6 separate regions of the Mus musculus genome follow, and regions 1, 2, 3, 4 and 6 are each reported to be linked to region 5. Evidence: microRNA targets listed by miRTarBase, many of them from high-throughput screens and not tested one by one. Region 5 holds a microRNA gene; each other region holds the end of a gene's coding sequence. Distances are between the middles of the regions.

Region 1 (5,333 bases), not on the chromosome of region 5:
CTGGAGAGTTGGCCCTGGGAGCATAAGTGGAGAGCTGACAGGCTAACTCATCTACCACACAGCACCAAATCCAGAGCTTTGATTGGCCCACTCCGACATCTACTTCATCTATCAACTACTGGAGCTCATGAAAGATCCGCTCCTAGAGATCTCCATGACACGGGGCAATAATAGAATATAGACGTTGAATCTCAGTGAGGATCCAGTATTGATAGTGTAGTAGAAGCTAGAGGCTTTGAACCAACCAATGGCTCAATGCAATGAGCATTTTCAAGTAAAGCTGTTTGAACAAAAGGGTATACTGTGTGACACCAATAGCTAGATTGGGGGTGGGGGTTGGTTTTCACTGTTTCTTTCTTTTGGGAAAGGCTGCAAGAGATGAGGGACAGGAACATGAGTGGAATTGGGGCACATGATGTGAAACTCACAAAGAACATACAAAAGATTTTAAAAAAAAAAACTTAAATATCTGGTGCATTTTTCCTCTGAGTATGTATTCTTTCCCCATCTCTTCTGACTAGTTTTGGTTTGAAGTCTATTTTGTTAGATATTAAAGTGGCTAAACCAGCTTGTTTGGAAAATCTTTTCCCAACCCTTTACTCTGAGGTAATGTTTATGCTTGATGTTGAGATATGTTTCTTAGATACAGCAGAATAAATCCTGTTTTCACATCCATTCGGTTAGTCCATCAATAACCAATGACATGTTTTGGTGATGGTGGTGTGTGTGTGTGCTTCCATTCTTTTGTTTTTGCTGGTGTGAAATTATTTCCTGTATTTTCATGAGCGTAACTAACCTCCTTAGAGTTCTCCTTCCAGCACCCTCTGTAGTGCTGGATTTGAAGATATTAAGTTTGGTTTTACTATGAAATCTTACTTTTTCCATCTGTAGTGACCTATTACAGTTTTGTTGGGCATAGCAGTCTGGTCTGGCATCTATGGTCTCATAAGAGTCTTCAGCATACCTGTCCAGATCCTTCTGGTTTTTAAGAGTTTCTGTTGATGAGTCGGGTTTACTTCTAATAGGTCTTCCTTTGTATGTTACTTGATCTTTATCTCTTACAGCTTTTAATATTCTTGGTCCTGTACATTTGGTGTTTTATTATATGGTCTTTTCTTGTCCAACCTATTTGGTGTTCTGTATGTTTCTTGTACCTTGGAGGGCATTTTCTTCTGTCTAGGGAAATTTCTATGATTTTATTGAAAATATTTTCTGGGCCTTTGAGCTGAATTCTTCTCATTCTATTACTATTACTCATAGATTTGGTTTTTTCAGTGTCCCAGACTCCCTGGATGTTACATGTCAGGAAATCTTTAGATTTAACATTTTCTTTGAAGTATCAACTTTTTTTTTTAAGATTTATTTTTAAATATTTATTAATTTATTTATTATATGTAAATACACTGTAGCTGTCTTCAGACACTCCAGAAGAGGGAGTCAGATCTCATTACAGATGGTTGTGAGCCACCATGTGGTTGCTGGGATTTGAACTCTGGACCTTCGGAAGAGCAGTCGGGTGCTCTTACCCACTGAGCCATCTCACCAGCCCTCAACTTTTTTTCTATTACATCTTCAATGCCCAATCTTCTCTTCCATCTTTTGTATGCAGTTGAAGCTTGCGTTTGTAGTTCCTGTTCGAATTCCGAATTTTTCCATTTCCAGAATTCTGTTCTTTATTGATTCTGTTTCCATTTACGGATCTTGAACAGTTTTATTTCCTTCAACTGTTGTTTTCTCCTGGCTTTAAGGAACTTATTCACATCATCCAACTGTGCTTTCCTAGATTTAAGAGATTTATTCCTCTTTAAGGACCTCTATCTTCTTCATGCAGTGGTTTTAAGGTTTTTTTTCTTGCACTTCAGCAAGGTTCTGCTGTGGTAAGATAACTGGACTCTGGAAACATTTTGTCCTGGCTGTTACTGTTTTTACACCGGCAGGTTGAGTTTTGATTTTAGAGAGCTCAGAAGGGGATGTTCTTTGAGATCCACAGGAGGTGTGAACAGGGAAGGGAGGCTGTAGTTGGGTTGGAATGAGCCTGAGGGACTGAGTTTGCTAGGGAAACACAGAGATCAGAGAAGGTCTAAGAGCAGAGTACCTGGTCTTCTAGCAGGTGTGGCCTGTAGTTGAGTAGGGGGTGTCCACCCAAGCTGAAGGCTGGGACACAGTGACAATTCAGGGAAGAGAGGCTAGAAAGGAATGTTCTGTGGGATCCACAGAGAGTGTGGGCAGTGGGGAAGGAAGGCTGAAGTTGATGTTCTGTTGCAGTGTTAGGGGCGGCCCTGAGGGATTCAGTAGGGATTTGGTCTACTAGGGAAACAGAGAACAAAACAATAAACTCATACATTCAGCAAACTTTATATTGCAAAAAGATACATCTATCTGAGCTTCTCTCACAGCTTTGCTTTGCAATGTTTATATAACACACATCAATTCTGACCCAATCACAATGGTAATTTCTTACAATGTAGATATGAAATCTATATATTAATCTACTGAAACACCCTTCAAATTTTTTTATCTGCAATTAACCATTACCAGGAGAACAAACTTTATCCTACGATGTCTCTCCTTTCCCTCAGTGTTCACTCTCTAGAAGCTGGAATCCTCTCATATCACATACTAAAAGCACAGGAAAAAATGGTTCATCTTGTTAACATAATGCCCATAAGTCTGATGAGATAATGCCCATATTTTAACCTTGAAACATAAAGTCAGGGTTAACATGTCACTTAATTCATACAGTACATTGTTAATTATCAACAGTACCCCACTGACTCAGAGGTTCTCTATCTGGCTGATGTCATTTATTAACTGTTAGACCATGACTCAACCAAAGAATGTGCTTGTATGAGGCTGCTGGTTTCATTTTAGAATTAGAATGCTCATCTTTGGGCTACTTTCAAATACAGAAATACTACATGTGGCATATGAACTATGGATTTTGTTTCCCATTACTTCAGGAAGAATTTATTAAAATAAAATTTTACGAGACAAAATGCAAATCTACATGCTTGTATTTTGGTGTATACATGTATATACTAACCCTAACTAAAGCATCACAAGCAATACTAACAGTTCTGGTTACATATTTCCAAAGACTTAACTGCTCTAAAGATACATGTTATAAAGACACTTATGTAAAAGGCAAAAATAAAGAATCAACATAGTATTATTTCAAAAAAGTTCTCTATCCCTCATAGAAGAAAACTATGCATTTTTTTATCCTACGAAAAAAAATAAAAGAATGCTATCATGTAAAGAATTCACAAAACCTAGCTGTATATCCCATAAAAGCCATACCCACTGAACGTAAGCAGCAGTTATGGTCCCTACTGAATGACAGACACACCATCACTTTCCTCTTTGACAATAGGAGTTTATCTTTCTCAAGCTCTCCTAACTGTACCACAGAAGTTCAAATCCTGTAGCAACAAGTTAAAACTACAAAATAAGGCATTCTGATTAAATGTCATAAAAGTAACAGGCTTTAAGTAGTAAAGCAGGTTCTTAATGTCGTTACAATTTCACATAATCTAGCATTACACAGAAAGTAATTTTACCCCCAAAATACAATGAATTGCTACTTTGGGGGGCACGGGGTGTTGTTCATGAATCTTTAACTTTGGCCATCTTTCCTACCATGATCTCTAAGCCTGTAGGTAGGTCACTTACTAAAAGGTTTCTCAAATTATATTAAATCTAAATTGACAAAATCCCTGTAGTATTATTTAGGGAAAGAAAGAAAAGTGGACTTGGCACAAACATGCCAACAGGTCACAAAGTTTTCCTAAACAAAACCTCCTCCATACAGAATCCAAATCTGCCATCCACCTGAAGCACGTAAGAGGCAGCAATACCACCTCTACTAATAGCACAAGGTAGAAAGCTGAAACACTGAAACATCTATTACCTTCAACTGCAGATTGTATCAAAGATGCATCCTAAAATACATTTTTTTCTAAAATCCAGATTTGACTGCTCTTCACACTTTTACATTAAATGTTCCTTAAACAAAAATAAGAGCATTAACTTCAGTATTCTACCATCTAAACATTGTAAAGCAATGGTTATACATCAGCAGCAACAGGTAAAATGCACCTAATTTGGGTCCTTGACACCTCTTGTTTAAGTTTTATTGTATGATAAAGTTCTTCACAGTTTAAAATATTGTGAAGTAAGATTTTTATATATAATTATATTCACATACACACTATGTACACATACTATTTGAGGTGTCCATAAACCTGGAATATGTGTTTATCAGTAGGGTACCCTACTTGAGCAGGAACCCTGAATAAATTGGTGTGGACTGTCAAAGTTTCCCAGAAATGCTTAGAAATAAGACAAGAATACTATTATGAGCAATTATAATAAAAACTTCACCTTATTTACATAGTGCCTATCTCCCAAGAGGTAAAGACGCTTTATGGATAGTTTTCAGTATTTGAGGCAGAACATTGGGGACACTATCAATTATCATTTTCCAAAACTCAGAGACTGCCACCACCACGTACTTTGACAGTGGCAGAGCAAAATCCAAGTACATAAAGACCTCTTGGCTCTCAGTCTCCCTTACCACATTTCAGTCTTGTGGTACAACAGAATTCCCAGCACAAAGGGTTAATGTCTAAGTCCTCCTATATCGGCAATGTGCGCTAGATTTATACCATGGGGAGATCAAATGGTATTTTGGCTTTGGCAGATGAAAAAGTCTAACATTCAGTGTGATTATAATTCAGTGTAACTTCTCCAGTCTAAGTGCAACACAGCTGATTGGTCTACAGGGGAGGGTGGGCCAATGTCTAACAAGACAACGAGTTCTTATCCCAACAGCTACTGGTGACTGACTACAGAGACAGCCCAGGACCTGGCGCTAAGTTCTTTTCTATTTCCACAATATAGTATACACATATAAATAAACATCTCAGCATAAAATGTACATTAGCATCAGTTCATGTTCAAAGGCCTTAAGGATGAACTTTAAAGGCCAAGAGTTCCTCAGAGTGCATGTTGTTTAAAGATCGAAGATCTGGCAACTTTAGAAGTAATTTTGTAAAAATGGAGGCCTCATTTGGATGGTTTTTCATTATTAAGGTCCTTAGTGCACGGATGAGTGTTTCCTGCAAAGCCTCCACTGAGTTGACATTTTCAATTCCAGATCGATCTAATGAAAGTAGAGAAGAAAGAAATATGAAGGGAAGACATTAGCAATAAATGATTACTTACTCACTGACCACTACCAAATTTGAAATAGAGCAATATATACAAGCTGTAAAAATTCTCAGCTAAAGTAACATCAATAACACAACAACAAATGAGCCGGGGATGGTAGC
Region 2 (5,333 bases), 80 Mb from region 5:
GCAGGAAGGGCTGGCCACTGGATGGGAAGTTCTTCCAACAGAGCCTAGTTGAACCCTCCTCTCCCCAAACTCAGCCTATGAGTTCAAACCTTGATAACAAGATAGGTTTCCCTTTCTAAAAGGAGACACAGTGAGAACAAGAGATGCATCCAGTTTATTTAGTAGTTTGTTCTGAACAGACAAAAATAAACCAAAAATGCCTCACACATCTTTTTTTTTCTAAATACATTTGACCTGGTTTAGTCTTTAATGCAGCGTGTAGAGAAATCATCCCTAGATTCTTCTGTTTCAGTAGCACTGGCCAATACTGGGCCTGCAAGCCCAGCTATGCACAGCATAGGTAATGTGTTATTTTGCAAAGAAACTAGGTTAGCTAGCATGGGTAAAGGTTTGTGGTAGCAAGCCTTGGAGAATGTGCAATGTCCCTGGCTAATAGCCACATTACGACTGCTTTTCTTTTTCTGCTGACCTCAGGGAAATCCCTGCATAGTGCTAGCTGGTGTGGGTTTCAGAGAGTGGGAGGAACAGTAGGGAGCAGCCAGAATGAAGTGAAGCCCAGGTTAGGGATTTCAGAAGCTTTGCATAGAACTGCATCAGCCTCTGGGGAAGAGGAAAGCAGAATTCTGCATTTCCATCAAGAAGCCTTGTAGCCATCGCATTCACCTGCCTCCACGCCGGGGCTGAGACGATGACAGATGAAGTACCCTCTTTAGGATTTCTCTATATAGGCTTGGGCCTCTGCCTTGAGAGTATCTTGAGCTCAACAGCTCATCAGTCCTAGGGCTTGCATTCTAGTGTTTGCATTTGACACACCCCCCCGTACTAAAATTTCAGCTTCTCAATTTTTAATGATGGGGCCTAGACCTACAGCTCCCATCTTGGTGGAAGAAGAGAGGAAAATGGAAGGATGCTTTTGTTTGCTCGCTTGCTCGATCGCTTACTTGCTCCCTTGCTTGCTTGTTTTAGAACTTGTTCAGCGGCAGGTTGTTGGCCAGGGATTGTGTGAGTGGTAGATTTTCCTACTTCTCCATGAGTGGAGCATCCCTGTGTCCCATTTCCTCCTAGTTTTCCTCTTGTCCTGCCAGCACAATTCATCAAACCTCGACGGATGCTCCTTTATTTATGAAAAGGGCAGGGTCTAGCCCTCCCTTTTCCATCAAGCAAACTTAAAACCATCAGCTACTGTCACTGTTGTTCAGACCATAACACAGAAGATCCAGCTATCCTGCTCCCCCAAACCAAGGCAAAATATTTGTCCCTTTGTTAAAGTCTGAATACTTCCTTCTGTACAGTCCGTATATTTGGGTATATGTACATCTATGTACATTTCTCTGTATATATTATCTCTGTTTTTCTCCTTAGATAAACATATATCATATCTCAATCTCCCAAGTTTCCCCCCACCTCCTGTGTGTCAGTCATAAGTAAGTAAGACTCTGAGTTTCATCTCCCTAGGCCCCTTAGCCTCGTCGTTCACTTTTTCCCCACTCTGGAGATCCTTCCCCATTGGTCGTTTTGCTCACCTGAAATCTCCCATCCCACTTAGAATTGGCGCACCTGTTATTCTCCTGACATTCCAAGTCTCTAGCTGGTACAGACAGGGAACCCATTTTTCATCAGCCGTGGCTGTTAGTAAAGCTTGCCCTGCATCCTGAGAAAGGATTTCAGGTCAGAGAGTCGGGCTGGGATCTAAAGAACCACTTAGGGTTGTGAGTGGGAGTTGTTCTGCAGAACATAAGGCTTGTTGGAGAAAGGTGCCGTTCTGAATTCTGAATTAACAGGACAGATGTTAATGATTTTTAAATGATTTTAAAGTGCAACTTAGAGCAAAGCCTGGGATTGTAGAGGAAGTTCAAAAGGGGTTAAGGCAGGAAATGCTCTCTCACATTGTTATCCAAGATTCTGAGGAGAGTTGGGCCTTGGCAAGGCTCTGGGACGAGGGTCATTCCCTCAGAAGGGAAGCAGCAATGTGAAGAAGAAACAGGACAGAGGATAAATTGCCACAGGATAAGAAGACACACACACACACACACACACACACACACACACACACACACACACAGCAGTACACATGGTCCTTGCACACTGGACACATCAGGTAAGCGCAGCGTTGAATGTATTTGAAAGCACATAAGCTGGCTCTTGCCTTCTGCTCTTTGTTTCAGACATTCAGGTTCTTCTGGTTCTGGTTGTTGATGAGAGTTGGAGGCTAACGGTGAGCTTTACAGTAAGGAGAGACCAAAGGCTCTTCGTTTTCAGGCTACAGTTAATTGAGTTCAAGGGAAGACCAACGTAAAAAGACTGTGCACAGTTGAGATCCACTCAGTCTTGGGATCTTCTGAGTTTCTCTGCAAGGCTTTGCCCAGAGATCCGGGCATGCATTCTGTATAGATGTGTCGCTTGTCATCTGTCAAGTCCACCTTACAGCTTACGTCATTCCTGCCAAACTACCTTGCGAGGTTTCCTGGGTACCCAAGTGGAGCCAAAGCTCACTAGGACAGGACCTGGTGCTTCAAATGCCCTTCCATGACCCCTGCCACAACCCTCACCAGAGAACTAGGAATGGCTTGGGTGTGATCTTAAGCTGTCTTTGTAATTTGCCTGGAACTGGCCCGTAGGCAGAAAAGAGGAGAGATGGCGCTGGTTTTCATCATTTTATGCCAGGTGTCAGAATGGCAGAGATCAGAATGTAAGTTCCTCTCCTCTCAGCATTGCCTCATAAAATAGCTGGCACTTCTCAGAAGGGCACCAGGAGATGGAACAAAATAGTGGCTGTCAGCCAGAGTTCTGCCTCAGCCCAAACCATAACAAAACATCACAAATTCCCCGAGGCTCTGTACAGCAATCTGGAAATCTGAGAAGTGGGTTCAGCTTTCCTGGGGAATCTGTGCCCTGTGACTAGTTTTAATAGATCGATGTTAAGAAAGGCAAATGACCATGTTTCCCTCTCTTACTTCAAAAGGTTGAGTTAAGGGAAGGTCTGGGGTGGGAGAAAAGGAAGCAATGGAACTGGTACAGTGTAATCTGGATGGTTTTAGATATTTTCGTGAGGTATGTGCAATGGACTTATTCAAGAGAACATTGGGGGCTTGGCATAGTGGTTCATGCCTTTAATCCCAGTATATGGGAGACGGAGGCAGCTAGGTATCTGTGAGTTCAAGGCCAGCCTAGTCTACATAGTAAATTCAAGGACAGCCCATGAAAGAGAGAGAGAGAGAGAGAGAGAGAGAGAGAGAGAGAGGGAGGGAGGGAGGGAGGGAGGGAGGGAGGGAGGGAGGGAGGGAGAGAGAGAGAGAGAGAGAGAGAGAGAGAGAGAGAGAGAGAGAGAGCATTGGTTAAGGTCTTCCTATTCCCAGGAAACACTAAAACATATCTTTTCAGGACAGAGCTGCCCAAAGGACAGGGCCAGAGTATTAGACAGTATTTCCAAAATTGAATTTCTCAGAATCCAGGATGGGTGCAGGAAAGGTGGCTGCTTGTGTTTCTCGAGTCAACCCCAGTTCTACAGAAACAGAAGCTGAGAGAGAACCGGCTTTGCTGAGAAGATCCACTTGAGAACTGGAGAGGGAAAATTAGGTGGTGACCAAGAGTCCAGGCTCTGTCAGGAGTTACCAGCTGAAATTAAAACACCATGACAAACTCTGGCTTCTTTCTTCAGGATTTGATAGCCCAGGGAAAACTGATTTCAGATCCCAGTACTTCTGAGGGCAGAGCCCATAGAGTGACTCTCTGAGAGAGTTCTGCCTCAGGGAACTTAGCTAGATGGAAGAGAAAAGGAGGAAGCTCCAGTCTCAAGCCATCAAATTTTCTAGTGGTGGGCGTTTGGGGGGGAGTCTATCCATCCAGTCACATGGTCCTCTGAATGTGAATCTCCAAGCATGGCTGCGGCCTTCCAAGCCATGTCAGCCTCATCTTCCCTCTCTTTCCCCCAAGCTGGCTTAAGAGTCATATACATTGGTGTAGTGGTAGAGGAAGGTACAAGGGGACAGTGAGAGGAAAAGGAAGGGCTCCAGCAGGCCCCGACTGCTCACAGGCCACCGGGCTAAGGGGAAGTTGAGGGTGGGTGCTTCAGGGTCTCTCCAGCGAACCCAGATTGTATCCTTTTCCCAGAGCACTGGAAGAGGAAAAGGCCAGAGGGCTGGGGAGGAGAGAACAGGATATCAGACGTTGCTGATGCGCACACTAAGGGCACTGCCTTCCTTTTCAGCTTGCTCTCTTAATGACTCCTCCAACTTGAGCTTCTCGGGGTCTCCATAGCGTACGGTGCTATCGCGGAGACCACTGGGAGATGCCACTTTCACAACCTGGTCGAAAAGGCTGAAGTCAGCTATGTATTTGCCACTGGCTGACAGTGAGATCGCAGGCGTGAACTCGTAACCCCAGAGGATCTCCTCCGGTAGGTAGGAAGTGCGAACTTGGCAGGTGGCACTGGTGGACTCCACTGTCCCACTCAGGATCAGCACCAGCTCAAAGTCCCCCTCCCCACTGCGGAGCGGGAGATCTTTTAAGGGGCTGGTCTCATCTACCACGTGGTAGAAAGTCAGGGGTAGGATGAGAAAGGGGCTGTCTGAGGCTGTGTCTACTTGGAAAGTCACGTTGACCTGGTTGAGCCGAATATTCTCACCCTCCTTTGTCTGGTGCGTTTGAAGCAGTTTGCCTGTCACCTGGCATCCAATGAGGAGACTCTTCCGCATATTGGCAACCCGGATCATAAGGCAAGGCTTCCCGTTATGGGAAGCCACAACGGCATGCTGGCTGAAGCGGATCGTCTCGGCCCTCTTCTTAGGCCGGGCAATCTTTGCAAGGAAGGTACCTGTGATGAAGATTTCCAGAATGGTGGTGAGCACCAGCTGCGCAATAAGAAGCACGATGGCCAGTGGGCATTCCTCACTGATGTAGCGGAAGCCATAGCCGATGGTGGTCTGGGATTCCAGGGAGAAGAGGAAGGCTCCGGTGAGCGTGTGCACCTGCACCACACAAGGCGTGTGGTTGGCAGGAGGTCCCAGCTCCAACAGGTCCCCATGGGCCACAGCTACCAGATACCACACCACACCAAAGAGGAACCACGTGCCTGCAAAGGTTGCAGAGAAGAGCAGAAGCTTGTAGCGCCATTGCATGTCAATGAAGGTCGTCCATAGATCCTTGAGGTAGAGGAAACGTTTGTCAGCAATGTGCTCCATTCTCACATTGCTCCGGCCGTCTTTCGTGAGGACCCTCCTCCGGCGTATTCCTGGGGCCACTAGGGGGCGGCTCTCTGTCTGAGTCGTCTGACTGTAATAGACCTTAGCGACCGACGTCATCTGCAGGAAGTAAAATGGCATATAGAAAGTTAT
Region 3 (5,283 bases), not on the chromosome of region 5:
ACTGGGACCAATTGTCACAAAAGAAAAGTGAAATGTAATAACTGGGAACAAGTATTTATATTGTTTTTCAAGGAATAGTAACACTTACCTTTGCCAAAGCAACAGCCCATCTTGCTTTAGAAATGAAACACTAAGTGTTTGAGAAGCAGATCGTAAGATTCCAGTGACTGGGACAGTCAAAGTGAAGCAAACGTTTATCCTAATCAGACCCAGTAAATGCATACATTGAAAACACTCAGTCCCACATTAAATGCTGTAACATTTACATATTTCATTTTAGTGCTGTATTCCATTTTAAAAATGTATACAGCAAAAACTATTCACATTTCAATTTAAACTCCATACAGAATTGATTCTTTTACTCAAGAAACAAATTCTGTAAGTTACCACGGGAAACTCCACAGAGGAAACTCCTCTGAGACTCAGTCAGTTGGATATCTTTCTTCATAATAAAGTCTACAGAAGTCATTGAAAGTCTCAGATGTGTGTTTATCATTAGGTCATCCAAACTGAATTACCGTTCATGGGTAAAGTTAACACTTTAGGGGATATCAATCCAACCTCTTATAAACAAATGTGTACAATAGGAATCTATAATTACTGCATGATTTCTGACAAGCTCAGTATGAAGGCCAATGCTGAGAAGCTAAATCTGGGCCTGGGAAAACTACTCCTGCTTATATATTGTTCAATATATAGAATAGTGGTGTTCTCCTCTCTTGCTATTCCAAATAACTTGTATCAGATATCTCACCAATGAAATAAAATGTCAAAAGAAAAAAAATGTTTACTATTTATCAACAGTGCTATATAAAATAACATGATCTTAGTAGAAGTGGGGTTTAGAAGCAAAATTTATGCTGTCATCTCCCAACATATACACACAGATATACACACATGTAGTATGCAGAATTGAGGTGGTTTTAACACTCTTGCTTTTCCTGTATTTCTCAAGGCATATTTCTCAGATGAGGGGAGATTGTTACAAATGTTTAAAATCAGAAACATTGTTTTAAGCTAGCATGGGGTTTTGCTTCTCATATCAGAGAAATTTAAGAAGGAAAAACTACAAAAGACTAGTTGGCATTTGGTAAAACATGTGATAATGGTCTCATCACACCAATCTTCCCTCCATATACCAAGTATTCATGGGCTTCTTGCCTCAGTTAATGTCTCAAGGAGAGGAGAGCTACAGCCCACAAAACACAACAGGAAACAGCATCAAGAGGACATTCAGATGTTGCATAGCTGTGACCTCTCATACTGCTTATGATGAACAGTAATAATCAAGGGATGAAAACTGAAATTTCTTTCCTCAGGAAAACTACCACCAGTACTACACACTGTGCAGAGGCAAACGCTGCAAAGCCGAGAGGGAAAAGATGCTCAACCCTTGCATCTCATCTCCTGGGATGGAAGGCAGGCATGGAGAAACCGGGCCACAAGCTAACCGGGGTATGGAGTACTGAGAACTGTGCAGAGTCCCTGCTGAGGACACAGCCCCAGATCAATGTGGGGAACGATGTAGGCGGCTGTGGGGCTTCACATGCCAAGATGAATTCACTTCCAAGCTGAAGAATGTTTACCTGAATGGTCCTTTCAAATGCAATGGAGTTCAGACGCCTGACAGAATCATGAAAAGAGAAATGGAACAGATTTTCTCTATTTAATTTCTGGAGGGACAGGTGTGTCTGAGCACTTTCTTTGGCTGAAGGGGAACAGAATTTTTCTCTATTTAGTTTCTGAAGGGACAGGTGTGTCTGAGCACTTTCCTTGCCTGAAGGGAGCGGAATTGATTTGTTAGTCTTTCAGAAATCAAGAAATCTTAACCTCAGACTTTTAGCTGTAAAATTCCTGTTCACTGGTAATTGAACCCAAACTGGAATGTTTTTTTTAAAAAGCGATAATTTGTCCATCAAATTATCAAAGCCTTTTTTTTTTTTTTTACACTGGGCATCTTCACAGTAAGAAAGTCAGGTGGTTAAGAACCATTCAGGACTTAAGACTGACACGAACTTTCAAACGTCGGTGCGTTAGGGAGGGCAGGGAGGGGTGACCGGATGCATGCTCACACCTGCTGCCCATTGTCACATTTTATGGGTGCATTCTATGCCCAAAATATGTGAGTACTGCTGATTTCATTATTATGGGCTGAAGTATGCAGAAAGCTAACCTCTGGCAAGCAGCATATACATCAAGAGGACATGAATGGGCCAACAGCCGTAGAATGCATGACAATGTTGGATTTCTTACCAGAAAAACAATAAATGTTAAATAATTAAGATCTACATAAAATCAATATAGTTATAATGCTTACCCTCCGGGTAACAAAAGTTATCTGGCTATAAAAATTAAGCATTCTTTTATTTTCCTGTTTGAGAACGTAGTTTTGTCTTAAAAATAATTTTTCAGTTTTTCAAGAATTTAAACATTGGAAACAGGTATTTTTTTAAACGGAGTTCCAAGAAAGAAAGGAAATGAAAACAAAAACAAAACCATTTTACTTTTTTAAAAAACAAAACAGGTTAGAAGCACACATGATGCTACTCTATCAACCACTGTTAAAATGCCATTTGTGTCATTTATATTCTAAGATTCCCAAGTAAAATTAGGCTCATGACTTCTGCGAGTGGTAGGAATCATTTGCTTCCCTTCTCAGAAGATGAATGACAGAGACGAAGGCCAGGCGAGATGGAGAGCAGATGAGGAAAGGAAGCGCTGGGAGACCGAGCCCACTGAACACAGTTCAACTCTGTACAGTCAGAGAGAAGGAAGTGGCCACTAGTGACTGGGGGGAAATGGACTTCCTGTGTGAACTGCCTGTGACAGGTTCCTGTAGCTGGCTAGTACAAGGCTGCTCTCTGGTACAGTTGTAGGCTGACGCTGTACTTTATAAAGTATGACTCATATACTGTCCTCTAGATCTGCAGTGTAAAGCTACTTCATCTTTTTTATCCTCTATGCTCCCAGCATCCCTGGAATGCCCAGCTAACATTTTCCATTTTCAGAAAGGATGAATCAATGTGGATCTGAGAGAAATCAATTGTCCAGAACCAACAGCAGGCAAACAGTGTCAACGTTTTCAGTTATGTTACAGTCCCACAGGAAAGGGAGAATCCTCGCCCCTAAGCCCGGGCAATACCCTCTAGCAGGGTAGAGATCAGTGGTTGTTTGTATCTCAGTTAGAACAGCAAGGGTTGCAGAGCTGTCTTTTCAATTATAAAATAAACTCTCTATGCTTTTCCTATTAGGATTTGGTGTTTGGATATAGGATTAAACGGAATCCCAAAGATCTGGGAAGTGTCATGCAAGCAGGGTGCTTTCATAAGGGAGATAATTAAAACTGTTTCTTTACTCCCTTCTGAACTGTCAGACACAAAATGGAGATCTAGCCAGCTGCAGTGAACATAAGCTACACAGATAATCTGCCTCCCAGTGCAAGCCCTCTGACCCAGGACAGAGCAGACAGGGCATGGAACTGCCACCTGAGAGCAGGGACAACAGAACAGACAGGTACCCATCAGTTCTGCTCCAGCAAGCAAGCTACTGGGTGGGTGAAACCAGAAACGCTGCAGAATCCTCTAGTTTCCTCATTCTCTGCTCTCTGGGCTGAAAACCTGAATCATGTCAGTGTGTCTGTCTGTTTTCAAGTGTCTGTAGAAATGATCATAGGAAATCTGAATAAACATACAACACCATTTCTCGCTGTGTCTTATTAGACATTTACTTCTAGTTCCCTGGGAGACGCTGTAAGTTCAAACAAGTGGTTTTGTTATCACTTTTGGATTTTATCGTGTTTAAGAGAGAATGTGTGCTAAAAGTATGATAACCCATGTCACTTTATTGCTACAGTTTAAGTCATTTGAGTTAGCTAATGAGTTCTGCATCATCTAAGACACACAAATCAAGAAAGAACTCAATTTAAAGCAGTTATTGCAGAAGTGTACTGTATGAAGCCCTGGCTGAGCTACTGTTGAGGGGTTTCCTTATATACAAAGCACCACACTACTTTGCACAGAAGGTAACTGGGTGCCTGGTTGGACATGAGGATGAAGTCACTGTCTCTACTTGGTACAACCTGGGGCTCACGGGCAACTTGCTTCAGACACAGTGAATGAAAGCTCTCAAATAAGCAATTTTATTCCTATCCATGATTGCAGACATTTACAAAACCATAACATCTGAGTTCACCTTAAAAAATAACTTATATAAAGCAGTGATGTACACAGCACAAAATAGTTGGGGAAGGGCAGGAGCAACCTTTAATAATTAAAGTGTAAACGTGAAAAAAAGGATGGCATAAAAGTCCTACTTACTTCTACTTAAGATGTCATGTGATACTATCTTACAATGTCCTGTGGGTCAATGCACGTATGCGTATATGTGCATACAGATCTGCATATACGATGCATTCTCTTCCCACACATACACACAGATAATCATCGCAGTTCAGTTGGGGGCAATGCTAATGTGCCGCTCCGTACAGTTGCTTGAATCACATTTGGACCCGCTTTCTTCTCAAAATAGGGGAGAGAGCAGGAACTAAAAGGTGGTCTGGTTGTCTGAGATTCCTTTGTCTAACTGTACACGACGAGTAGTTTTCTTCTGTAGTAGTTCTGTGATGGGCTGACTCACGATGGTTTTCATGAGAGACGCGGCAACGGATCACACGCTCATGGTCATGCTGGGGGAGTACTACAGGGACAGAGAGTCCAGTGTTAGCAGGGACGTCAGCAGGGTTCTCCTGACACAGAGGCAAGGGATGGATGCTAGGCTCTATGAGCAATTAAGCACACACCTTTAACTTCAGGAAAATAAGGAACTGTAACAAGCCAGCTTATATGGCTTTACTTAGTTTAAAATTTGAAATTATTTCCTCTACAAAGCCTGATTCTTTCCCAGGACCTAGATAATTATGCAGTCCTCAGACTCTCCTTCCAAGCCAGATGAAAGTTTTGAGGACAGTTGAAACAATCTGGACAACTTTAGTTCAAGGGTGGCTTACAGTGAAGAGTGTGAGGCCTAGCTTTTGCTATATACAGCCCAGTGAGTGGGGGACTTCCCTGAACTCTCCTTCAGTTTTCTCCCCTATAACAGCCTTTCTGACAATATCAAGCACTTTGGGGAGTATTCAATATAAAATCCTTCAACTGTATACTTGATTCGACACACAGAAAGTGCTCAGTGAACAGTTATGTAAGGAGTCATGAGCAACTGTCAGCTCTGCTGACCAGATGCTCCAATGTGTTAACACAGAAGCCTCATACACACACAGACATGCAC
Region 4 (5,333 bases), not on the chromosome of region 5:
ATGAATTGGTAGTCTCCAGTTTCAGTGGGAGAATTGTTTTTAAAAATAAGGCTGGGTGGGGGTGGGGATGAGGGTCTGGAAAGATGGCTCAGCAGTTAAGAAAACTGAGTGCTGTTGCAGATGGTCTGGCTTTGGCTGCCAACCCCATATGATGGCTCACAAGTTACCTGTAACTCCAGTTCCAGGGGATCTGATGCATTCTCTTAGTCTCTGCTGACACAAGGCACACAAATGGCGTACATACATGCATAATTACGTACATACATGCAAGCAAAACACCCATATGTAAAATAAAGATAAAAAGAAAGAAAAAAGTGGAGAGAAACTGAAGGAGATACCAGTGTTGAACGCTGGCCTTCAAATGCATACACATTTGCCTGAATATGTTCTTGCAAACACACACACACACACACACACACACACACACACACACACACACACATGAGAAAGAATCCAATGAGACCACAGTCTTTCTTCACTCTTTACTGTGTAAAAATAAACTTAACAATTCATGTCATCTCAGCAAGAAAATGGGAAAAAAAAAGCAAGGATACCAGTATAAATAGTGCACTTCCAGAATGGCTGATGGGTGTGGTTTACCCCTTTGATACTCAAAAGGCTGCGGATTGTATGAAAAATGTACAGCTTTGGTTAGCAAATAATGAAAAAGTAAGATACATCGATTCTTTCATATTTTACAGTATGTACATTGTAACAATATCAACTCTTGGGGGGTTGCTTTTTTTTTGGCAAATAAGACAAAATTGGGACTCTAAGTATTGGGCTTTTGTTTCTCCTCAATGACTTGTTCCCTTTTGAACAAATTGCACGTAAGTCCACTGCGCACAGAAGCAATACATTTCCCATTGTTAGCTGAGTAAGTTTACACATTGTGTTTTGGATGAAATCATGACCACTTCGAGCCACGCTCGGGTTACTAAGGATGCTGTACCCCTATGTTAGCCAGAGTGACCCTAATTCCTTCTATCAAGCTCAGAACTGGTATCCAAATTCTTATCTCCTTCCATATAACCTTTCAGCTCCAACACAAAGAGCCCACCATCAGGGGCCTTTCTTTTTAACCTCCTGGTCCCTTACACACCCTCAAGATCTGGTGGCCCCTCATCAGAGCTCACTGGAATGACTGTGAACCTCAGGCCAGCCTGTCCTTCCCCCTCACTGCCCACAAGACAACCCCTTGGCCTCAGGTCCCAGGGCTGGTGACAAAGTGATCTTTGCAGTCTTAGAAAATAAGTCGGGCGTCTACAAAAGGAAAAGAAAGCATACAAAAATGTATCTCTTTCTTCCAAAATACTTGCTTTCAGTCCTAGGTTTTGGCGGAGCCTGAAAGTATTTTCAAGGGAGATATAGGTTGAGATAATTTATAGGTTTGTCCTATTCTTTCATAAAAATACTCTTGTTTGGTAATAAACTTTTTCTTCTACAGTAAGAGAAATAATACTGTGTTATCAAAAGCAAGAAGGCTTACAATTCAAGTGAGCTCTCAGCCCCTAGGGCCTGGGAGCCTCCGTGGCAGCTCTACCACCCTAATGCCCAGGGTGCTGTCGGACACCATCGGCAGAAGCAAACACTGTCTCGACAGTGCGTTTTATCTCTTATTTTATAAAATGGCTTACCTGAGAGAGGCATGTATTATTCAGTGCAAGAGGGAACATCAATCAGATTACGGAGTCGATGGGAAATATGCGGATTAGATTTGCGGCTGTCGTTACCTTTCTCAGGGCCAGCAAAGTGCCAAGTGTGAACACAGTGACGGAGAGGAGGGCTTGGCACAGACTCCAGTAAGGGGCAGGGCAAGAGCTAGATGTCAGCGTCTGTCCCTGGCACCGTGGGTGCCGCAGGGGAGAGGAGAAGGGAGAGGAGTGGAGAGATGAAGTGACAGAGGCAGAAGCATTGGGGTGTGCTCTGCCCTCTAAGCCAGGGCAGAGGATGGCTTGTGGTCCTGAACGGACAGCTCCCACCCCACCCGTCTGGGTGCAAGTGGTCTGGGGTCCGCATTGGCAGGGGCTGGGGCTGGTGGCAGGGGTTGGCAGGAGTACACCGGGCATAGCCGGCTCTGGGCCTCGCCTGGTGGTGGCTCCCAGAAGGCTAAAAGTAAGGGTGGGGCTCGATCTGGTCTGGAAAGTCGATTTGAAGTTCAAGTTCTCTCTCCCAACCATGGGTACCATTCAGGCTTGTTCTCAACCTAGATGTTAGAAATGCTTCTTGCTATGTCTGGGGAGGGGGAGGGGAGAGGCATGTTGATCTCTCTCCTGACCTCCCCAACACCCCTGGCTTGCTTACCCAGCCATTTTTCAGTAGCTACATGGGTGATCACAGAACACTGGGTGGCATTCAGCACACAAACACAGAACCAGAGAAGTCCATGCAGGCAAGGGAACACGCGTCAGACCAAGGGAGCAAGGGACACACCACCCTGAGGAACATGCAAACACAGAAGATCCCCGCAGATCCAAGGATGCCACAACCCGGCGGGCGCTGAGGAAGCACAATTATCTAAGAAAAAGCCACTGCTGGACAACGGGTGGAGCACAGCCTGATCCGCACCCTCAGAGAGGATGCACCACAGAGCAGTGACCAGGGAACTGTGCAGACACCCACAAGAACAGTGACACAGACAGCACACAGACAGACACGGATGCACTAGTTTCAGACACAACATGGACCTGTGTGGAAGGAGACAGGTGCCCCTGGAAGGAACAGCAGGTGGAAAACCTGCTCCTGTTGAGGAATTAAGTGTCTGCAGCTGCAGACGAGCCAGGCAGTGCGTAGGTTTCTAGAAAGACTTGCCAGCCTCCTGCTAGTCAGGCTACTGGAGACATAGTCCAGGTGTCACTGGGTGTGTGCCCACAACACGGGGGGGAACAATGCAGGGGTCCACCCTGCCTGGACACAGCCTCCTCAGCATTCAACAGACACATGTGCACACACGCATTTCGTCCCCCTCCTCAGAAGGCCCAGAAGGGGGTACTCATGCCTACTTTCAATAAGGAAAAGCCACGGGCTCAGTGTCTCAGGCCGGTGGCAGGTTGGGGCTGCTGCTGGGCTTGTGCCCCATGAAATGCAGGAGTGGATGGCAGGACCCACCCCGGCCAGCAGGCTCCACATGAGAGGTTTCTGAGCCCCTGGCCCCTGAGGGGTCTGAGCTAGCTCACCCGGGCCTGGGTGCGCTGGGGGGAGGGAGTATGGCTGTGAAAAATGCCGTGGGAGACCATTCCCACGGACTGTGGATCAGGTCTCGGTATTCTCTAGCGCTGAGACCGAGCACGTGAGACCCCCACTTGAAGCCTCTGGTCTCTCATTGCCAGAGGGAGGAAGAAGGGTGGGTGCCAAGGCCCTGTGTCCTGGGACTCTGGAAGGGCACTCTCCTCTCAGAACCACTGGGCTGAAGTAGCTTTGGAAGCTGAAAGGGAATAACAGGTCCCTTGATAAGATACAAGGAGGCAGGAAGGCCAAGGGTGAGGTGAGGAGCAGTCCTGGGGTAGAGCTGCTGAGGGGCTCAGCCCATGCCACCCTCAGATGTAGACAGCAGACAGCCTGATGGGGACGTGGGAAGGGGCTGATTGGTAGGTGGTGCCATCCCTGGACAACCAGCCTTTGAATTTCAGAGACTCCACTTATCATCCCCCCCAAATATTCCTGTGGAAAGCACCCCCCCAACCTTGACAAACCATTGTTGACTTATGTCAACAGAGACCTACATCACTCCCAAAGAGGTCTGCAAACAAGGACAAATGGGTGGTCCAGGAAGCCGCACCAGCCCTGAGGCACACAGGCAGCCGACCCATCAGGAAACTTACAACAATCACACAGAAAGAAGGGAACAAACTAACTCATTCTAGAAGAAAGCCTCCCTACACACACACTCGCGCTCTCTCTCTCTGTCTCTCTCTCTCTGTCTCTCTCTCTCTCTCTTTCTCACGAAATTCTGCATTGTCAAAGCTGATGCTGCCTGCTTTAGCTAGGTATGCCCAGGATATAGTGGGGCCCCTAGAGAGAAGGGGGTGTCCTTGGGGGCCAGAGAAGAGCCGGGACTGCTTCAAGTGCACAAGGAGGACAACCAGGCTGTGTGCGTGTGCGTGTGCAGGGGCCATGGCCTTGAGTCATTCCTGGGGGGAGGGGAGAAGAGAGACGATGGGTCACCGCACAAGCAGGGTGGGCAGGCGCTGGGGCTGGGGGCTCAGCCCTAGCCTGAAGCCTTCAGTTGATCTGGCGACAAGCCTCGAATGTCCACTTGGTGGCTCCACCAAAGATCTCGATCTGGGACTCAGCCCAGGCGATGACATTGCCAGAGAGAGCCTTGCTGCTGCAGGTGGCCAGGTTGTACACCTCCCCGGGGGTCAGCTTGCGGTCCCAGATGTTGAAATGGGCTAGCTCACCCACAAATGCTTGGGTGGCATCAAACCCTCCACCTAGAGTGTCCTTTGGAGAAGAGTGGGGGAAGAGAGAGAGAGAGAGAGAGAAGGGGTTGGCTGGGTGACAGAGAAGCCTAGCAAAGCTACCCCTCCAGGGGTCTTGAGATACCACCCAATCCCCAGGGCAATAACGAGAAAGAGGTTGTTGAGAGCCATCAGCAGCCAAGGCCACAGTGTCTCCGACCCCTCTCAAACACCCTATCTGCTGGAAGACAAGATGGCTCAACAGGAATGGAAGATGACTTCCTGTCCCCTCATCTCCCTCCCAGTCCGTGCCCAGTGGGAGATGAACCATTTCACAGGAACTAAATTATTCATTGCTAAAAGTGGAACTGGGCTTCCCGTGCCAAAGAGAGGCCTGCTGCAGTTTCCCAAGAGTGCTGGGACCTGGGCCCACTCCCATGGAGCTTGCTGAACTATGATGTGACTTGTTCCCGGCACACACCCATGGACACACACATACTCCCTCCCTCGCCCTCTGCCCAGGCCAGTACCTGTTCCTGACCCAGCACCAGCACGCCCTGTGGTTTGATGGGGTGATAGGGTGCCAAGTTCTCTCCATTGCCACCCTGGGTGCCATCCTGATAGGCCTCCCAGACCCCATCCCGGGTGGTCCAGGTGACACAGATGTGATGCCATTTGCCATCGTTGATTACAAACGGCAGCTTGGCCACCTGGGAAGGAGGAGGACACACAGTATGGACACTGTAGCCTGGTGCTACCCAGAGCTGAGGACATGCTTAAGTTCTGCCACCATGCCCCTCACTCAGTTTCACAACTCCTGTTGGGCTAGTATTGAACTTTCACAGCACTGCCCCCTCAGATGTCCTTAGCATCTTCCAGCCCCACCCATGACTGAACCATGGCATCCACACTGGAAGGCAGCAGCTTGGCCAA
Region 5 (5,333 bases):
AAGGCCAGGAGGGTGTCCGCTAAGCTACCAGGCTACGTCTGCTAGGCACCATCTCTATCACCATTCCTGTCTGCATCCCCCCTCCTCCATGCATTCACCTCTCATCTTCAGTTCCATTCTCTCGCAGCTGTACCCCCACTACAGCCTATCTCTGTCTCATCCCCTTCCCATCAAGAGCTTGGTCATCAGCCCTGATGTCCACTCATGTCTCTCAGCTCCCACCTCCATCCCATCCCCATCTCCCTAAAGTTGTGCTGCACCATCCTAGATATTCCTCTCTACCCCATCCCTCCCCCTGCACCCCTCAGGCTGCCGCAGCCCCCTTTCCGCAGTAAGTCCCCCTTCCTCTACTGAACCCATCCCCCCTTTCACCCCGCCCCCGCCGCCACAGCCATGGCGCTCGCTTTTCTCCCTCCTTTTTCTGCCGCCGCGCCCACTGCGGCAAGCCCCTTCCCCGCCAATCACATCGCCCTCTCTCCTCTCCCTCCATCTCCCGCTTTCCGCAGCCCCCCTCCAAATGCCCCCCTCTGCCTGCCGCAGCACTCAGCTCTCCGCACCAGCCGCGCCCACTGCACCAGCGCCCCCTCCTCACTGCGGCGCCAGAGCAGGCGCCTGCATCTGCAGCTCCGGCTTATCTTACCGGCTCCAGCTGTACAGAACCATCCCCGTTGCAGAGGAGGCAGCGGTCGGTCGGAGCTGCAGGTGTCGCCCAGGCTTTGTTCGCCCAGGGCCTGGCCTGATGCTGGAGAGGCAGCTGGCAGGAGCCCTTGCCTGCCCGGAGATGACCCCTCCCATCGAGTCCATAGAAGTGCCAGCAGCCGATGCCCCCCAGTTAGGGGGTCCCTGTTCGTGATGGAGGTTCTTCTTGGTGATGTTGCCATTTGGGTGAACCGGAGGCAGGGGCTCGGGAATCATGAAGGCATCCAGGAGGGTGGAAAAGTATTGGGAGTGAGGTGGGGGCGGGGAGGGGATTGTGCTTGATGCTTTTCCAATTTCAGAGATGGAGTTGAAATGTCTTCCTTCGGGTGTGACCCCCGGGGACTAGACAGGTTTGTTGGGGAACAGGAGCAAGCAATGGGAAAATGCCCCTGGAGCCTGGGCAGTGAGTAGTCCCCCAGAAAGCTGGGCCATTTGCTCCAGGCTGTCACGTCCTGGAGACTCTCAGCCTCTGGGGCTGGAAAACCCAGGAGCACAGAGGGCTGGTTTACTTCTAACCTACCAGTCAACAGAAAGGCCTGCTCTAGGAGCCAGCAGCTGGGGAGGGGAGTGTAGCCTGTGCCTCTCCCTTATCTGCGGTGCTGAGAGATTATACTCCGAATGCCCCTACACTCCCCCAAGCCGTGCCAGCTGGAGTGTTTTAGGGGCCGTGAGGGAAGTGGGCTTTCCACTCTGCATCTCCCCCGTGAGCACAGGAAGCTTCTAGAAGAATGGACCAGAGGCGGGGTAGCATGACTCTGCATTATCTTCAGAAGGTGGAGGGTTTCAAGGCATTGGGTCCCTGAAGTGTCAGGGGAGGTCAGGTCAGAGATGTCTGTGGGTAGCATCAGGATGCTGGACTCTGCTAAAGTCCTGGGGTGACTGTGGATGATGACCAAGAGGGATGCTGCCTCTGTGAGGGAGGAGCAGGAGCTGGAGCTGTCAGCAGGTGGCAGGAGGGTGTGACCCTGAAAGGTAGGAAGCCACAAGCTGCTGTCTGCTCTGGAGAATAGTGGGGGGCCGGGGGTGGGGTGCAAGCAGCCAGATTTGGGAGGAGGTAAATGAGCAGTTGCTGCCCATGGGTTTGCTGCAATGGGGTGCCATGCTAAGTGTCACAAGAAGCAGGGGTCTTGGAATTTGAGAGGCTTTGGGGTTGGGGACAAGGCTTAGAAAAGGGACTAAAGTGGGGAAAACCTGCCATTAACAAACAACCCCCTTCCCCAAATAAAACCTGTGAGTGCCAGGGGAGGGTAGTGCCCCCCAAAAACCCAGGAGGGAAAGATCTGGAAAAATGAAACCAACTCTGAGAGAGATGGGCGGGGTCAGTGGGGAACAATACTGCCGCTCCACTCCCACCCACCTTCAGGGCTGGCAAGGAGGAAGCTGCTGGTAGGGTAGAACGGAGAGACGTTCCTACGATGGGTATGTACTCCAGTGCTTTCCTGGAAGTGTAGAGAGCTTTGCAGAGCCTGCCTTAGCTGTTCTGATGTTGAGCACCTATGGTTCCAGTTGGGCTGGGTCTCAGCTCCTCTATCTTTGACCCTCAGCAAGCAGGTCTGCCAATGCATGGGCTTCTGGGCAGCCTGACCCAGCCTGCCCGGGGCCCTCAGGCCAGTGCCCAGGCTCTGGCTCCGTGTCTTCACTCCCGTGTTTGTCCGAGGAGGGAGGGAGGGACGGGGGCGGTGCTGGGGCAACTGGAACAGCGCAGGTCACCGGGCTGGCTGGGTGAGGTGGCCAGGCAGAGCCAGGGGGCTGCAGGGGAGGCCATTGGATGGGGTATGCTCATAGTAGCTGGCCAAAAGTCTCATGGGTCCCATTTATCCAGAACCTGCCGTGGAGTGGGGCGAGTTTCTGTTTCTGAGTGTGTGTCCTTAATTAACTTCTTCCTGTTTCAGCTTCGTTCTTCTGTCTATGTGGTGAGGGGTGGCAATTGGGACCACTAAGATGGAGAAGGATGTCAGAGGAGCAGAAACCATGGGAGGGGCCAGTAAGGCTGTGCCCACCTCTCTCTTGCCAGTGCTCTGTTGTGCAGCCTGGTCCTCAATATTTCCACCTAAAACCTTTGGCCTACACACACAGAGTGCCTCTGTCCCAGCTGAGCCCAGGATGGCCCCATCCTGATACCTGCAGCCTCCATCCCCATAGCTGTTTCCCCACTCACTGCTGAAGTCAGAGATGGGTCATCCTCTACAGTGCCCCCCATGATTCCTCCTCTAACAGAAAAACCCTTAAACCCCACCACTCAAAGAGAGAGATGTGGCATATCACCTCAGCCCAGCAGACCATGGCCCGGAGCAGAGCAAATAGAAGGCCCTGCTGGGCCCTGTACCTTGTTGTGCCTGTAGCCTGCTTGCGGGTGGATAATCTCTGCTTAGCCCTCCCTACTCTAGAAGGAAGGGAATCAATCAATGGATGCAGATCAAGTGGCAGGACCTAGGCTTGCAGCTCCCAGCTGTCTGGGCACCAACCCAGCCCTTTCTTGAGGTTGGGTGCTTAATAACATGTTGCTTCCCAGGACCTGCAGTCCCTGTGAAAGGCAGGTGCCCTGGGCAGGAGGAAGCAGTGTGGTAGGAGCAGAGGGTACCAGGTAGGGGAGTGGTGGGAGGGGCATTCCGTGTGCACCTCCCATCTCTGACTCCCTTTTCTCTTGACTCCCCCAAGCACCCTTGAATCAGAATACAATTCCTTCTGTTCTTCTACCAGCTGTCAGCCACTGCCCTGCTCTGTGGACCTTTGGGGACCCTGAAACCAGGTGGGACTCAGCCTGTGAGGCCAAAAGTCCCCAGGGTTCTGGGATGAAGCACAGCTCCCATGCCTTAGTAAGCAGGAGAAGGGCTAGGCCAGGCCCTCAACCTGAGACCTGGAAGAGCAGATCTGAAGGTTGCCCTACCTAGGGATGGAGGGGTGGCATCTGGGGATATATACCTTCCATGTCAGGTCAAAATCACAGAGGCTGTACACAGTTCCACTCTGCAATATGCACACACACACACACACACACACACACACACACACACACACCATCCAGCACACATAAATGCTTGTGCTTACTAAGTGCTAAAGACAAGGATGTGATCATGTAACAAGCTCTTAAGGGTGAATGCAACCTCAGAATCTCTCCTTAGTCAGAGATCTCCACTCCCAGTTGGCTTCAGGGGAGGGGGGTTCATAGAAATGGGGCCTAACACATAATGGCCTCATCCTGAGGTCACAGGTTCCTGCCCCCACATGCTTCTTGACAAGATGTCCACTCCCCTCTGGCTCAGTCCCCCACCTCTGATGGCAGCCTGCAGTATCACATCCTGGAGTTCTTCACATCCCACCTTTCCCATCAACCCGTCAGCAAGGATAAAGCCCAGGTACCAGCCCTGGCACCTACTCTGGGCTCTGGAAACTCTGCATTTCACTGGCTCCCCATAACATCAAAATCAGCATTCCTGCACGAGGGAAGCTTCTAGAATCCCTGCTGACCGCTCCCTCTTCTCAGACCTTTCACCTAAGGCTGGGCCACTGCCTCTGCCTTTTTGATCCACCCAGTCCCTTGTAGGGACTGTAGGGCTCTGTCTTTAGGCTCAGAGACAGCAGTGTGACCCTATGAGAAGGGAGTAGAACAGAGTGGGGTCAGGCATAGGCCCAGTCCTGAGTAGCTCAGCCCCCAACTGGGACAAAAGCCAGTCTCCAAGCCTCAGATTCCCTGTAAATTGGTGTCACTATAGCCTTAGCAGAAGGTTTCCTCTCCCATTGAGGTTTTCTTCTGATGCCAGGAGACTCTCAGGTGTGTGCTGTAAGGGCTCCATGGTAGACACTTTGAGGCCAATTGTAGGCCCAAAGCAACCCTCTGTCAGCAAGTGGCAGTTGATATTGTCCTGAATGGTACTGCTGCAGTGCCACCAAGGGCTGACAGGTCAGCTCACCAGCCCAGGATAGATGGCGGGGGAGGGAGTTTCAGCCAGAACACTATGGGGACTGGGAATGTGTCCAGCTAGTGGGAACCTCAGGCCAGGGTTGAGTGGCCTCTGTTTGGGACCCAGTGCCTGCGCAGAGCATGCTTTTCTTCACCCCAGAATGGTACCCAGGGCCCTTGCAGAATGCTGACACAGGCCCTGCAGAACATTCATGGGGCACTCCACTCTGCTGTCAGTCAGGTGGCCTCTGAGACTGGCCTGAGCTAAGAAGAGGCTGGATTTCTTCTTCCTCCCCCGGGCAGAGGCACCTGCCAGGCTCGAAAGCCTCTATCAGGTCCCCAACCTAAGTCGGGCAGCCTCTCCCTCTATGTGAGGGCTGAGCTGGCTCTCAGGGAGCCCTGCTAGGACTCTCATTGCATTCCTGAGATGCTGGACTATGTCACACAGTACTCGTAGTCTGAGGCTCAGCCCTCTGATAACTATGATAACCTGTGGTACCCCATCCCTGAATCTTAATCAGAGGCCCTGGGAGGTCAGAGACACTGGAGCCCAGCTTTGCCCTACAATGTGCCCCCTCTCCCCATCTCTGCCTTCACAAAGGGCTCCTAACCTGAGCTGAGCCCCATCTTGGGCAGAGCATCCTGGACCACTGTTCCCCCTCACGACACCCTTTGCCGTCCCACAGGTGAGCACCTGCGGATCTGCCCCCAGGGCTACACTTGCTGTACTAGT
Region 6 (5,333 bases), not on the chromosome of region 5:
TCCCTGGTCAGTGCGCTCTTTGCTCTCCTGCAGCAGCCGCTGTATCTGGCCATGATGGGTCCTCTGGGAGGAGACCCTCTGTGGGTAAGAAGGGTCAGGGTGTCTCTCCATTCTGCTCCTGGGAAGGGGGCCCAAGGACAACAGGTAGTGTGGGAACGTTGGACAGTACCCAGTCAGGGGTCCCTGGTGGATGGTGACCGGGAAGGAGGAGAAAACTGGCCTCTCTGGATCCGATTCTGGGGTGAATTCCAGGCTTTCCATCCAAAGCATTCTCATCCAGGTGTCATGAGTTGTCCCAATCCCAGCCCATTCCCTGGAGGCCGCTGAGGAGCATTGGGGAAATGAGATGCTGGAATGTGGGTTGACAGCTGGGACCCCTTGAACCTCCTCTTTAGTTTTGAGTCTTTTCTGTGTGACGCCTTCCCTTCCCCAGACCTGCGTGTGCGGGTGGGCGGGCGGGAGGGTGCTGCCTTGCGTGCATGCAGCTCCCTCTCACAGCCAACTCCCCACCATCCCAGGTGAACGTGGGTCTGCTCGCCATGAGCATGCTGGGCTTCTGCCTGCCCCTTTACCTCATCTGCTACCGGCGCCAGCTGGAGAGGCAGCTGCAGCAGAAGAGGGAAGACAGCAAGCTGTTCCTTAAGATCAATGGCTCATCCAACCGGGAGGCTTTCGTGTAGTGCCCACCCACCGCCTCAGTTGTGGCCTCCTGCCTGTGCTTCAGTGACTGACTGCAGTCATCTCCCCACCCCAGAGGACCTCATGCTCTCCCTGGATCCTGCCCTTCACCACACTGGAGCCCATACTTCCTCAGAACCACCTGGCCCTGCCGTGGAGTGCTGGTGTGGAGGGACAGGAGAGGGCCTGGGACAAGTGAACCTCCCACTGCCAGAAGCTGGGCTGCCCTGGCCTAGCTGTCACCCCAGGGGCTCTGAAGTCTCCCGATCTCCATGGGGCTTGTACCTGGAGCCAAGGGGACCTTTTCAGCGAGCATTTCTTTCTTTTTATTTTTTCTTTCTCTTTCTCACTGATCGGATTCTGCCTCTTGCCAAAGCAGAGGGGCCTGCCATCCTCCAGCACACTACCTGTCCCTGAGCTGCACGCCCACCAACCACGCCCACCTGAGGACAAAGGCTTGCGCTGTCTGCACTCCCCTTGCTTGGCCCCTTACCTCCCCTGGCCAGTCTGGCTGCCTGAGGAAGGAAGGACCCGCTTCCTGTTGTTGGTGCTAACCCCTTTGTCATCCCAACACCCCCCTGCCCGTGGCTAGTCTCTGGCCCCTCTTTTCCTTGAAAGCCTGAGAAGAAGCCCCCCCTGTCTCAGGCTGGGGAAGGAGTGGAGGGCAGACTATTTACACAAAGCCTCAAGAGCCCTGGGCCAGGCTTCTTCCTCCGGAGCCAGAGCAGTGTCTCTCTGCTGGCACGCTTTGTTCCAGTCTGCAACCTGAAGGGAACTAAGGGGACACCACAAGGGCACCCTCCCATCCACCCACAGCTGTTTTTCTGGGGTGGAAATAAGGCTGTGACTAGACATGAGGAGCCAAGCCTAAATAGGGAAGAGGATTAGTGAGTAACCCGAGGGGTGTGTGTTTATGTGGTACGTGTGTGTGCATGTGTGTATATGGTAGGAGGCTAGCCCCAGGGGCTGCTTTTATCAGAGTGGACCAGACCAGAAGCCAGCCAGCCCTACAGCAGGCTCAAAATAGGAGTCAGCCTTGCTTTATGATGGGGACCTGTGTGTATCGGTGTGATCACAGTGCCCCCTGCTGGCAGACTCACATCAGGGGACTGGAACGGTTCATGTAGTAGAAGCCTAGCCGGCCTGCCTGGCTCACTAACCCACCTTGCCTTGACAACCCCTAGAAACCCTGCCTGAGACCTCTTGGGGTGCCAAGAGGGGTACATTGGTTTTTAAGTTTATGGTTTTCTCTTGTTTTATCATGATTCTTTTTATGAAGCAATAAATCCATTTCCCTGTTGGTAATGGATGCCCCTCCTCACGTATCAGCTAATTACTGTATGTGCCTATTTTATATTTGAGAGGAGAGACAGGGCAAAAGGGTCTGCCAGGAAGAAAAGAAAAAAGAAGCCAGACATAGTGGCACACATTTTAATCCCAGCATGGGAACCTGAAGCAGGCAGAGTTTGAGGCCAGTCTAGTCTACATGGAGAATTCTAGGGCTACATAGTCAAAATCTGTAGATGTTCTGCTAGTGACAAACCCAGCTACACCTGGGTGACATGTCCAGGAAGGGGCATGGGCAAAGGAAAGCCCTGTCTACCCTGTCCAGGGAAATGGGGCTGTGGAGAGGTGTGGGCTGCCCTCACTGCTGTCTGTTGCGACTAGACAGACCAATCCAGAGAGAGCCTTCATCTCCACTGTTGGCTGTTACCGTGTAAGCCCAAGGGTTGTTATATGGTGACTCCAGGAAAGTCCTAGGCTAACTAGCACCCAGGCTAACTGAGATGCCCTCAGTCTCAGTGCAGGCCCTGTTGTGAGAGTGGACTGCCAGGTCTTGACTCCAGTCTGTTCAAACAGTAATCACATAACCCCAACAGTGAGCTAGTGGAAGCCCTTTGAGGCTTCTCATGGCTCAGTGGTAGAGCTCACTCTTAACATGGCTAAGACCCTAGGTTCTGTTTCCCAAGAGAGCTATTGTGTATTTTCCAAACCATCTCTCAGAACACTTGTCTGTGAAAAGGTCTAGTGGGGTACGCTGAGTTAAAGTCAGACCTGCCACTTCACAGCAGGGATCCACAGCCCTTTCCCCATGTTCCTGAGCATTGGAGCTGGGGGTAGCACCAGGTGTAGTGTCAGGAGGACCTCTTTGAGTTCAAGCCCAGCCTCCTGTACATTTCGAGTTCCAGGCTAGCCGGGACTATTCAATGAGACCCTGTCCAAAAAAAAATCCAAAAACCTGTTTGCAAGGATGTGGAGAAAAATTGGAAGTTTTAGGCATTGCTGTCTGAGTGGTGGAGCTGAGAGCTGTGGAAACATGGCACAGTCCCGTAATGCCAGCACCAAAAGGCAAAGGGTGACATCTTTCAGCATGAGCTGCAACCCTGCTCACACACAAGGTTGTGACATGCTGAGTGGTGACAAATCATAGCCATGTGCGACATGGTGGCTACTTGGCTGAAATGTGGATTGGCTCCAGGCCTGGGTGTGGATGTAGCTCAGTTGGTAGCATGTTTGCCTAGCTTACCCAAAGCCCTGGGTTTGAATAAACCTGGCATGGTAGTGCAGCACTTGGAAGGTGGTGACATCAGGATCAAAAGTCCCTCTTGGTCAGATAGTGAGTTTGATGCCAACCTGGAATCCAAGAACTCTCATCTTCGGAAAAAAGAATGACAAAATCAGATGGCAGACCACTGGTCTCACCTATGTCTCGATTTGATTCTGGTGCTGCCCAGAGGTTAAGATGCCCCTGTGAGGAAGAGAAGAGGTTGAGGGAATGTCCCTTCCTGCTAGGGATATAGCCTGCAGACACAACCTGTGCAGTTCCCAGCAACACTGAGGGGCCCACACTTTTGATCGTGATGCTGTAAGGGTATATATCCTAGGATTGAGACACTAGAAAACTAAATGTGGGATGGAAAAGAGCCAACGGTACTGGAAGATGAGAGACGTCCACTGGTAGCAGAGAACAGGTGTGGCAAGCCAGATGAGCTCTCCCTAATCAAGGGCCATCCTGCGCTGACTTGGCAGACATGTCAGTGTCTTTGAATCACGGTGACAGCCTAGAGTGGTATAGATGCTTGGAGAAGCAACCCCAGAGGACTCTCCTGTGGGTCTCAAGTCACTAACACAGCCGAGGCTGTCTCAGCTAGAACCCCCCCCCCCCCCATTGGAAGCAAAGAGCCCAAAGGGTGCAAGCTCAGAATGGTTTCCATATCTTGGAGCCAATGCTTTCTCAGGTTTGAGGCAAGCTATTTGCACAAGAGTCACGTGAGCTCTGGAGGCTGATGGGTCCTTGCAGGAATAATTTCCCTGATCTCTTCAACCTCAAGAAGAGTTACCCCAAGATAGGCACAGAAGCACAGGCTAGACACAGGCTAGAGGCACCGATGGAAGGAACAGGAAGCGATGCCAGCCTTGTGGTTTTACCCGTCAAGGACAGTCTCACCAGAAGCCCCTCCTTTGTGGTCTTGGCGTTCATCAAGGATGGATTCCCCTGGGACTCTACCCTTACGACTCTGCCGGGACCTATTCACAGCTGGCTCCAACCTTCATTAAAGCCAAGGTACAGGCCCTCGGGACCACCTCCTGTGCTCTGTCCCCTACACCCACATCCAGAAGTTCTGATCAAAACTTGTACATAGCCAGCCAGTGGTGCTGGTGCACACCTTTAACCCCAGCTCTCCCCTGCTCAAAGCTCAGCGCTTGTCTCCACAGAGCCCAGCCACAGGGGCTGTTATAGCCTCAACACTGTTCCCTAGGAAGGGCAGTAAGGTAGTTGTGGGTTTTATGGCAGTGACAGTGCCTTATCTGTGAAGCTACTAGGCACAACCTAAAATTGAGTAATATACATATATATATATATATATATATATATATATATAGAGAGAGAGAGAGAGAGAGAGAGAGAGAGAGAGTGTATTGACTCAGCTGTGTGGAAAGAGCACCCAAGGGTTACAGGAGGGCTGGCTTCTCCTCGGGCTGTAGCTCTTCCCTGGATTGAGGGTCAAGATGAGGCTGTGTCCCCATGCTCTAACCTGCCTTGGGCCCTAGAGTGTGGACAGAGCCTCCTGAGCTGAGGAGAGTCCGTGTCCTCTATGAGGAAGGTATCATGGCTCTGTCAGCACAGCCACCAACTATGCCCCTTGGTCCCTGCAGTGAGTCATTCTTCCATGGATAGATCCAAGACAGGACCACAGGTCACTTCCTAACCTTGACTGTTCTCTGAGGGGAGGCATGTGGGTTAGCAGCCACTCCACATTCTCAGGGAAAGCTCCTGCCATTTCCTCACGTGAAATGGAGGCTTCTGTGCTCTCACGAGGTGGCTAAGGGGACCTGTAGGTAAATCGCAAGAACAGCAGTGTGTGTAGCTCACAGCAGAAACTTAACACCAGGACCCTGGAGAAAGGCAGACAGCACGGGAGCCAGGCACCCCCCCCCCCTCCTATGACAGGACCCTGACACAAGGGGACTGACCATGTCAGACTGGTGGCCAGATAAAGATGGTACTGACCTCAGTCTCTTCAGAAGTCGTCTTACAGAGAAGCCTTAAGTTCCCCCCTTGCCTACTTTTCTATTTTGTCCTTCACGTTTTTGGTAAGAGGCTTGGCCAAAGAGTCTTGATGTCAAAAGTCCCAGCAGCCCGTACCGCCTTT

The links. The annotated mature microRNA mmu-miR-149-5p reads UCUGGCUCCGUGUCUUCACUCCC and lies in region 5 at 2,321-2,343, shown strand. An mRNA with a match to its seed (bases 2 to 7 or 8) in the 3' UTR can be bound and repressed. Matches are read on the target gene's strand: a 7mer-m8 pairs with bases 2 to 8, a 7mer-A1 pairs with bases 2 to 7 and ends in A, and an 8mer does both.
Region 1: miRTarBase lists Nr1d2 as a target of mmu-miR-149-5p. Seed matches in the 3' UTR shown: 7mer-A1 at 2,790-2,796.
Region 2: miRTarBase lists Kcnj10 as a target of mmu-miR-149-5p. Seed matches in the 3' UTR shown: 7mer-A1 at 3,641-3,647 and 7mer-m8 at 2,136-2,142.
Region 3: the mRNA of Ssbp2 is a reported target of mmu-miR-149-5p. Seed matches in the 3' UTR shown: 7mer-A1 at 2,338-2,344.
Region 4: the mRNA of Nptx1 is a reported target of mmu-miR-149-5p. The part of its 3' UTR that is shown has no 7-base or 8-base seed match.
Region 6: the mRNA of Slc43a2 is a reported target of mmu-miR-149-5p. Seed matches in the 3' UTR shown: 8mer at 1,395-1,402, 7mer-A1 at 2,087-2,093, 7mer-A1 at 3,659-3,665 and 7mer-m8 at 5,100-5,106.

What each region holds. Positions count from the first base shown.
Region 1 is chr14:18,201,718-18,207,050 of GRCm38, forward strand. Nr1d2 (nuclear receptor subfamily 1, group D, member 2) reads right to left here. Exons shown (of 8, transcript NM_011584.4): 8 at 2,339-5,164. The coding sequence ends at 4,968. Among named protein-coding and RNA genes, the nearest start is that of Nr1d2, 35 kb to the right of the region's middle.
Region 2 is chr1:172,368,888-172,374,220 of GRCm38, reverse strand. Kcnj10 (potassium inwardly-rectifying channel, subfamily J, member 10) reads right to left here. Exons shown (of 2, transcript NM_001039484.1): 2 at 136-5,300. The coding sequence starts at 5,300. The coding sequence ends at 4,161. Among named protein-coding and RNA genes, the nearest start is that of Pigm, 5.0 kb to the left of the region's middle.
Region 3 is chr13:91,700,078-91,705,360 of GRCm38, reverse strand. Ssbp2 (single-stranded DNA binding protein 2) reads right to left here. Exons shown (of 17, transcript NM_024272.4): 17 at 1-4,695. The coding sequence ends at 4,666. It overlaps 4833422C13Rik (RIKEN cDNA 4833422C13 gene), which reads left to right. Exons shown (of 2, transcript NR_015501.1): 2 at 1,320-3,696. Among named protein-coding and RNA genes, the nearest start is that of Gm22778, 21 kb to the left of the region's middle.
Region 4 is chr11:119,538,252-119,543,584 of GRCm38, forward strand. It overlaps Nptx1 (neuronal pentraxin 1), which reads right to left. Exons shown (of 5, transcript NM_008730.2): 4 at 4,931-5,110; 5 at 468-4,443. The coding sequence ends at 4,222. Among named protein-coding and RNA genes, the nearest start is that of Nptx1, 6.9 kb to the right of the region's middle.
Region 5 is chr1:92,848,061-92,853,393 of GRCm38, forward strand. Mir149 (microRNA 149) reads left to right here and starts at 2,318; the gene lies at 2,318-2,383. Gpc1 (glypican 1) reads left to right here. Exons shown (of 9, transcript NM_016696.5): 2 at 5,287-5,333. It overlaps Gm29480 (predicted gene 29480), which reads right to left and starts at 737. Exons shown (of 4, transcript NR_166170.1): 1 at 641-737.
Region 6 is chr11:75,571,797-75,577,129 of GRCm38, forward strand. It overlaps Slc43a2 (solute carrier family 43, member 2), which reads left to right. Exons shown (of 14, transcript NM_001199283.1): 13 at 1-84; 14 at 519-5,333. The coding sequence ends at 680. Among named protein-coding and RNA genes, the nearest start is that of Pitpna, 14 kb to the right of the region's middle.